Linked DNA regions of Arabidopsis thaliana. The protein of the gene in region 1 interacts with the protein of each later gene in a pairwise test. Each region holds a gene or a part of one and is shown on either strand. Other genes may lie near its edges. The genes, in order: FLA14 and AT4G14480.

What was found.
Region 2: the proteins of FLA14 (region 1) and AT4G14480 interact in a protein complementation assay, tested with the Arabidopsis thaliana proteins (one large-scale study listed by BioGRID).

The regions. Positions count from the first base shown.
Region 1 is NC_003074.8:4,017,034-4,020,593, forward strand, and holds FLA14 (FASCICLIN-like arabinogalactan protein 14 precursor), read left to right. Parts: upstream 1-2,026; coding exon 2,027-2,794; downstream 2,795-3,560. Other genes in the region: AT3G12640 (RNA binding (RRM/RBD/RNP motifs) family protein), read left to right, coding at 1-75, 174-261, 379-642; AT3G12650 (uncharacterized protein), read right to left, coding at 848-1,564; emb2742 (CTP synthase family protein), read right to left, coding at 3,318-3,475. UniProt on the Arabidopsis thaliana protein: May be a cell surface adhesion protein.
Region 2 is NC_003075.7:8,329,333-8,334,094, forward strand, and holds AT4G14480 (Protein kinase superfamily protein), read right to left. Parts: upstream 2,533-4,762; 5' UTR 2,213-2,532; coding exon 749-2,212; 3' UTR 574-748; downstream 1-573. Other genes in the region: AT4G14490 (SMAD/FHA domain-containing protein), read right to left, coding at 3,082-4,242.

The DNA.
Region 1 (3,560 bases):
AAGGCATTTTAACAAGTTTGGTGAAGTGCTTAAAGCTTTCATAGTTACTGATCCAGCAACAGGACAACCAAGTGGGTAAGTTGTCTGAATTCATGACCCCAATTAATGTCTTGATATGTCACAGTTCAGTTATCGAGGATACCTTAGTGACCCAAGTTGATCGCCTTTTGCAGATCAGCGTACATTGAGTTCACACGCAAAGAAGCTGCAGAGAATGCATTGTCTCTGGATGGTACCTCTTTCATGTCTCGGATTCTCAAGGTAAATATTGAAGCCCGTGTTTAACTGTTTACCATAGCCAACTTATTGTGATCTTTAGGATTGGTTAGCATCTTAGTAGGATAAGGAATGAGTTTGTGTATATTTTGATGGATACAGATTGTGAAAGGAAGCAATGGACAAAATCAAGAGGCTGCATCGAGCATGTCATGGTCTCGAGGTGGAAGGTTCACAAGAGCCCCATCATACTTTAGAGGTGGTGCAGTTAGGGGTCGTTCTGTTGTTAGAGGTGGAGGCAGGAGTATGCAATGGAAGCGTGATTCAGCTGACACAGGAAACAACAACAATGTAGCTCCCAACAATGCTCGTAGTCTCACGTATGTCAGAGCAGAATCAAAATCAGACGGAGTTGCCAACGATTGATTGATTAGAAAGAGAAGCAAGAGCTTAGGTAAAACAAAGGAAGATGAGTTTTATCATCTACCTTATCGGATATTATTCTCAATTGTTTTTTTTTTTGGCTCTATAAAGCTACTCCAAAACTTTCACTTGTATTGACTTTCATGCTTCTTCAATCGTTTGGTTATTAATGAAAAAAGAAAGACAAAAAATATTGTATTTCAAGCTCTCATGGTGATAACAAGAGGAACAAGTTACCGAAACACAAGGCAACAACGCACAAGATGGAAACAACACGAGCTCTAACGAACAACAGATTGAGATTCTTAGCAACTTGAAGTGTCAAAGTAAGAATCTGCAGCCTACCTAACTCTTCCATCTTCTTGAAGAAGTACATTGGCTTCAACGATCTTCTCACCATCAACGCCATCGCAAACGGGAATCCGAAAGCTATACAGCTCTGAATTGTCATTTCCTTCATCGGATCTGCTCGAGTGGCGTATAAAATCGCCGCTCCAAGAATCAATTGAGTTAAACCCAAAGCACCCATAGCTCCACTTAGACTATACATATTCTTCATCATCCCTTCCAACACTTGTCTCGTCTCATTTCCTAACGCTGACAAATCGCGTTCCACAGTTGGTCCTTCGATCTCCTGGTGCTTCATCTTCTGCAGCTCCTCTTCCTTCGATTCCTCTGGCTTCTTCGGCTCGGTCTCTCCGCTTGGTGTCGAGAAATACCTCGGTGACCATGTTTCAGATCTAAGTTTGTCGATATTGAAAACAGAAAAGGATCTTAAGAGACCAAGCTCCTTAGTTACTGATCCGTGGATCAGATGGTTTCTTATGAGAGATGAGGAAGATTGGAGATGACGGCGAGAGACGTGGAAAGATGGAGAAGACAAGGGTTTAAGGAATTTTGAAACCAATCGACGAGAGATCATCATCGTCGTCGCCGATTTCGATGCAGAGAAGAAGCTCTACGTAATTAATTTAGGGTTTCTATTATTGCCAATTGTTTTGGGCTCATCTTTCACTTTCGGCCCAATCCATCAAATTATAGCTTCTAGCCAAGTCAACGGTTTAGATCAATTTTAACCGGTTCTTTGGTTTAGACTATCATCGATACTAACAAGATTTTGGCTCATGACCATTTACATTATCATCATCGCTCTATGAGATTACTCGTATATCCCAATGCATAGAACTCGATGTGCAACAAGTGGCTTACTCTAAAGTGAATTGAGCAATATAATCGGTACCTACAAGTGCTCTTAATCCAAGACAAAACACCAAGTTCCCACAAAGTTTGGAGAAACACACTCTCTTCCTCATGCCTATTCAATATAAAAGCCAAATGCCACCAAATTTTTTAAATAAACTCATCAAGCGATTCACAAGTCACAACAATGTCTTCTTCACTTACAATCTTCTTCTTCTTTTTTGCTTCCACATTCCTCTACACTTCATCAAATTCATTCAACATCACTAACATCTTAAACGAGCACGATGATTTCTCAAATTTCAACCAGCTTCTCTCCGAAACTCAGCTCGCTTCTACCATCAACAAACGTCAAACCATAACCGTCCTTGTGGTTTCCAACGGTGCACTCTCCTCTCTCTCTGGCCAACCAACCTCCGTCATCAAGAAAATCCTTAGCCTTCACATTGTTTTAGATTACTACGACCAGAAGAAACTCAAGAATCTGAGCAAGAAAACAGTACTCCTCACCACTCTTTTCCAATCTAGCGGTCTAGCCAGAGGCCAACAAGGGTTCTTGAACGCAACCGTTATGAAAAACGGAGACGTGGCGTTTGGTTCTGCGGTTCCTGGGTCTAGCCTTGATGCTCAGCTTCAAGACACTGTAGCAGCACTACCGTTTAACATCTCTGTGCTTCATATTAGTAGTGCTATAATGATTGATGTTAAAGGTGATAATGCACCTACTGCTTCTCCTTTGTCACCGGTATCATCTCCACCACGCCCTGCAGAATCACCTAATGATGATGGTCAAGATTTTGACGAGCCACCATCCTCTGCTCCTGGTGCTGCTGCTGATGAACCTTCCGAAAACGCCGGCTCAGCTAATGGAGTTTCAAGAAACGATTCTCAGCCCGCTTTCGCGTTTACGCTGTTGATGTCATTCATTTGGTGGTTCATGGCTCGACTTCGATGAGAAACAGTGTGCAAAGAACTAAACAGATCAGTTCAGGTTTTTGTAAGGAAAGCCAAAAAAAAAAGATAAAACAGACGCAGCTCGGATGGCTGCAAAAACATGAACACTAAAAAGTACGAAAAGATTTAGCTTGACAAGTTCTATGGGAAAAATAAATTGAGCGATACAATAAAGACAGAAAAATGTAACATTCAAAGTTCTTGGATATTATCTTTACTTAAGTTGTTGAAAGCACCTATTAGTTACAAAACACAAACTGCAAATTTTTGTTATTATTCAACGAGCCAGAAGAAACTAGAATATAGATCTTTATTAGTTTTTAGCTATGAAAGGTAAAAAGTAACCCAAGAACAGGAAGCACATTCATATCCATGTCTCTCCCCAAACCCTAACAACGAAACCAAACAAGTTTTCAAGACAAGGAAACAAAACTCAGGGACTATACATGTCGACTTGCTTAAAGAAAGCTTTGATTAAAAGCAAAAAAGCTTAAAAAGTGCAGTAAAATTGTTCCTTTCTCGAGTCAGTGGTGAAGCCCGTTTCCATTGCTATAGACATTGCCGTTCTGATGAACTTTCCCCATTGCAGATCCATTGGCTACTCCATTTTTCGAAACTATGTTCACCTTGCCACCTGTTTGCAATACTGATTCTAGACACCCAGACGCTGCTGCGATAAGACCTGTTGAATCAAAGTGTTTCTTAGTAAGCCACCACATTACCACAGATTCTTGCTCAAAAAAGCTATCAAACTATAACCTAGACTT
Region 2 (4,762 bases), on another chromosome or scaffold:
TACTCACTGGAATGACTTGATTGCAGCCACTTCGGGTCATTGGCAAGATCGAACAAAGCGGTTCATAGCTCACTATGTCTTCCAAGCAACGATTCATACTATCTGGAGGAAACGTAACAATCGGCGGCATGGCGAACAACCAAATCCACCGGTGCGTTTAATCCGATGGATAGACAAGCAAGTAAGAGATCGACTTTCTTCACTGAACACAAGCGGAGAAAGAAGACATGAGACGGGACTTCAAATTTGGTTTGCAACAAGAAATTTATACTAGTTTCTTTGATCTAAAATGTATTTAGCCTTTTTCAAACTCACGTTGCACTTGTTGTACAAAAGACATTTTTCTTTTGAATCTAATTTAACATTACATTAAAAAAAAAAAAACATTAAGTTTTTTTCTTTCGAGATGAAAGTGTTTGAAGATGCAAAATACAATCAAATTAGTAGACTATTAAAGTAAATTTGATTCTAAGAAGTACATCAGTAAATAGGGAATATGTATTTGTAATTCATATCAATTTTACATTTTGTTGTTGTGATTTTACTTTATTGTTCTTTATTAAATTTTATGAAGAGGAAATATTTATATGTTGTTTTGGTGAATATATAACTTGTTTACCAAAACTTAATTTGGAGCCATTCTAAACTGACAAATAAAACGAGTTAAATTGAAAACAATTGATCGTAATGTCATGCCACTTATATAATTTTAGCATATAGAAAAAAAATATTAACAAGTTTAGAATAGTTAACCCAAAACACTATCTTTATCAGCACGCAAGGTCTTTAGCTTCTCAGTTTCCAATTCAATCTTTAACTTCTCCACCATCTCTAGAAGCTCTTCTTCTCTGCTCTTCTCTTCCTTGTCCCCACTCAATGCTTCGATTATAATCGACACTCTTGCTCTTTGATGCTCTAAACTTTTCTTCAACACTTTCAGTTTCTCTAACACCAAATCTTTATCAAACCCAACAACCTCACCTTCTTGGTTCTTAGCTTCCTCGTTCGACAAACCTAAACCGAGTTCATACCCCGTTATTGTGACGTTATCGTCTTCCTTTTTGTCTTTTGATTGATCTTCTTCACGTGGACTGGACTCAGAAGAGTCTGATTCAGTAGCTGGGAACACTGGACTAAGTTGGAGATCGTCTTCACGGAAATTCCACCCACTGATTCTTCTATTCTTCACTATCTCTTCGTCTTCTTCTTCTTCTTCTTCATCATCATCTCCAACACTCTTGATCAAAATCTGACTCTCCATAAACATCTGCTCTGCGTTTGACAAGCTATGCAACACGTTCTTGACCACAAAGTCGAGTCCTTTACAGTTCTTGAAAAAAGGATGCTTCAACAACTTCTCTGCCGATGGTCTTTTAGTAGGATCTTGCTCTAGACACAAACCAACCATTTCTCTAAAAGCTTTTGAGAACTTCTTGTTACCCTTTTTGCTGCTTCCGCTCGTATTGATCTCGTAATCAGAAAAATGAAACCTTTTGGTGATCTTCATGAGCAGACTCTTCAACGGCGGTAAGTGAGATAACGGAGGTCTTCCATGTGCTAACTCCAACGCTGTTATCCCGAAAGACCAAATGTCTGCTTTGAAACCATACCCTGTGTGGGAATGAACCACTTCCGGAGCCATCCAATACGGTGTTCCCGCTATATCAGTTAACCTTAAAGAAGAAGATGTTGTTCCAGAGGAAGATGTCACGGGTTCATAGATGGATGCAGATACTCCGAAATCAGCGAGCTTCACGGATCCATCAGAATCTACCAGAATGTTACCTGCCTTGATGTCACGGTGCAAATGACCCTGATCGTGAAGATACGAGATTGCATTCAGAGTTTCCTTGAGGAAGACGGAAATGCAGTTTTCTGGTAACCCACTTGGAAAAGACGAAGAGACGATCGAATGAAGAGAGCCACAAGACATGAATGGCATAACCACCCAGAGACATCGATCAACGGTGAATGAACAATAAGCATTGAGAATATTCGGATGAGAAAGCAGAGACATCGTCTTGGTTTCACGGCGAAGACTGTCAAAGTCAGCCCGCGACTGATCAAGATCGATGGCTTTGATAGCAACTACCATTGAGTTCATCGGAATGCATATGGCCTTGTAGACCGAAGCACTAACACCAACGCCTATCTTGCAGATGATCTCGTAGGCTTCAGCATCAAGAGGGAACTCGAGCTTGTTCCGAGCCATAAATAGAAAGAAGATGAGTACACTCTTGCTTATTGAATTGTTATGTTTTTAGTGGAATTGTGGTCTTTTAGAGGCTAATAGTACCATGAGGCTATTCATATAGGGATGAAAAAAGAAAGAGTTGGTTTAGCATGTGAACTTGAAAAAAAAGAGAGCCTTTAATGTAAAAGCAAAACCCTTATCTCTTACTTAAAAATATGTTGATGAAACAATAAGATGAAGCATGTGAAAGAGCTAACTAACTAACCTTAGTTAATGAGATTTTACCTTTGGTCTTTCCAGGGACCCAAAGGGCAAACACTATCATTTCAACTTCAAACCGGTAAAGGTACAAAAATTAAATGGAGCTATGAAAATTTATTTTCATCATTTCACAGAAATTTAAAGTTCTAGATTTAGATATCTAGACTCGTTTTACAACTTTTTTTTCATGGCATTTCTGAAGAACTTGCATTTGCCTTTGACCACATGAGAAGGAAACAAAGACTAGAGAAAAGACGTCAGCCTTCTTGACATTTGGTAAAATGAATGATCAAGTATTCAAACATCAATATGCTAAGATAAAATCACAATGGAACAGAACTTGTTTTATAAGTCTTCAGGGATGTCCTTGAAACATATACTATAAAGTGGGCAAAAGACTTATGAAACCTACTTAAACATCAGCACTTCACTGTTTACTTTGTCTCACACGTAAAGCAAATGCAAGTAAATCAATGCAGTCAAAACTCTAAGCAACACAGCCAATCCCACAGCATTAAGGTCTACTTCATAAGAAACTTGTACCTGTCAGTATGTGTTTCTTATTCCATGAACTGAAGCTATACCAATAATCAGTGTGCACCATATCAGTTGGACACTTTGTCAATTCAACACATACACGCTTTAGCCTGAACTTTTCTTTGATCTGAAATATACTCACGAACTCTCTGAGTTTTACTTCGCATGGGCTCAATCATATTTTCTGTCTTGTGAATTATCTCTTTTGACAGATGACCCTCCAGAAAACTGAACAATGCTCCTAATGTCATCTTTCTTAGATCTGTATCAAGTTCATTGTTCATATCTTCTTCAACATGACAGCTTAAACCCTGCTCTCCTGAATCAGTAACCTCATCATTTTCAAAGCTCTTCAACGGCTTCTGATCCGCTTTCTTGTTCTTCCCTTTGTTCTTTCTGGCTCGATTTAGAACCATGTCCAATTCCAAATAAGAATCTCCAACAATATCAATCTTCTTGCTTCTTGTAGCCCTAGTAATCCTCTTCTCCTTTAAAGTCTCTACCTTCTCTACATTAACCACTCCCAAACAAGCTTTTCCTACACTTTCTTCAATCTTCTTGCTCCTCGTAGCCTTACTGCTCACTCTCTTCTTCAATCCCCTCCCTAAATTTTCCTCCACCATTGCACAATCCTCCATTTCAACCTTAATTAAGTTTACAGATGAACTCTGAATACTTTCAACATTCCTAAAGCTTCCATTTTTCTCCACCAGATCCTCTTGTAATCCATCAGTAATCCCTAATTTCTCCGAATCCTCGATTTTCCTAACTTTCCTAACCCTAGAACTCGGCTTGTTCTCAAATTTCACATCCAAACCCTTTTCTTCCTCAGTGATATCCCCCAAATTGATACTTTCTAAAACCCTAATTCGCTTCCTCGCATTAGCCTGACGCCTATTGTTCCTCGTAAGCTTCTTCTCCTGAAAATCATCAATCACAAAATTCACCAAAATAGATGTATACTCACCTAGTTTGATAACATCGCCATCTCCGAGATTTACCGACGTCTCTGGATCAAGAGCATTCGAATTCAATAAAGTACCGTTGGAAGATCCAAGATCTTGTATTACCCAATTCCCAGAATCCGATTCGATCCGAAGATGCTTAGTGGAGATTCCAGCGTCTTTAATTGCGATTTCATTACCACGAACGATTCGACCAACACGAATCGTAGATCCAGGCTTGTAATCTAGAGCATCGCCTTCTCTTGGACCCTTGACGAATACTAATCTCAACGATGGCGTAACCATTGTTACCGTTTCTCTCCCAAATGCGAATTTTGAAATTTTGATTTGTCTGACGCTCCAATTATTAATGGGCCTTAAATGGGCTTTTATCGTTTCGACGATAAAACAATTTCAAGGCTAAAAGCTACTATTGGCTAAACAACTGGCATTATTGATTACCCAAACTTCCAGCAACACACGTGAATCTCTCAGCAAACTTATCTCTCCCTTATCCACTTTTTTTCCAACCTTTTTCCCCTCACGCTCCTTTACCCTCGCGTGTATCTCACCTCATCATTTGGATATCCACTGTTAAAATTCCCTTTTATATTCGAAATCAACCAAATTTAACCTTACTCCTATAAATTAATTAGGCTCTTATCTACAATTGTTGCAAATCAACAAAACGTGCTTCTAATGCTAACACAATAATTGATTTTTGAGTATATTCCTCTACGTAGTGAACACGACGCGCTAAGATCTGACGCGTGGGATATAACTTGTCGGTCAACGAAAGCGCCACGTCATCGCCACTATGCTTGTC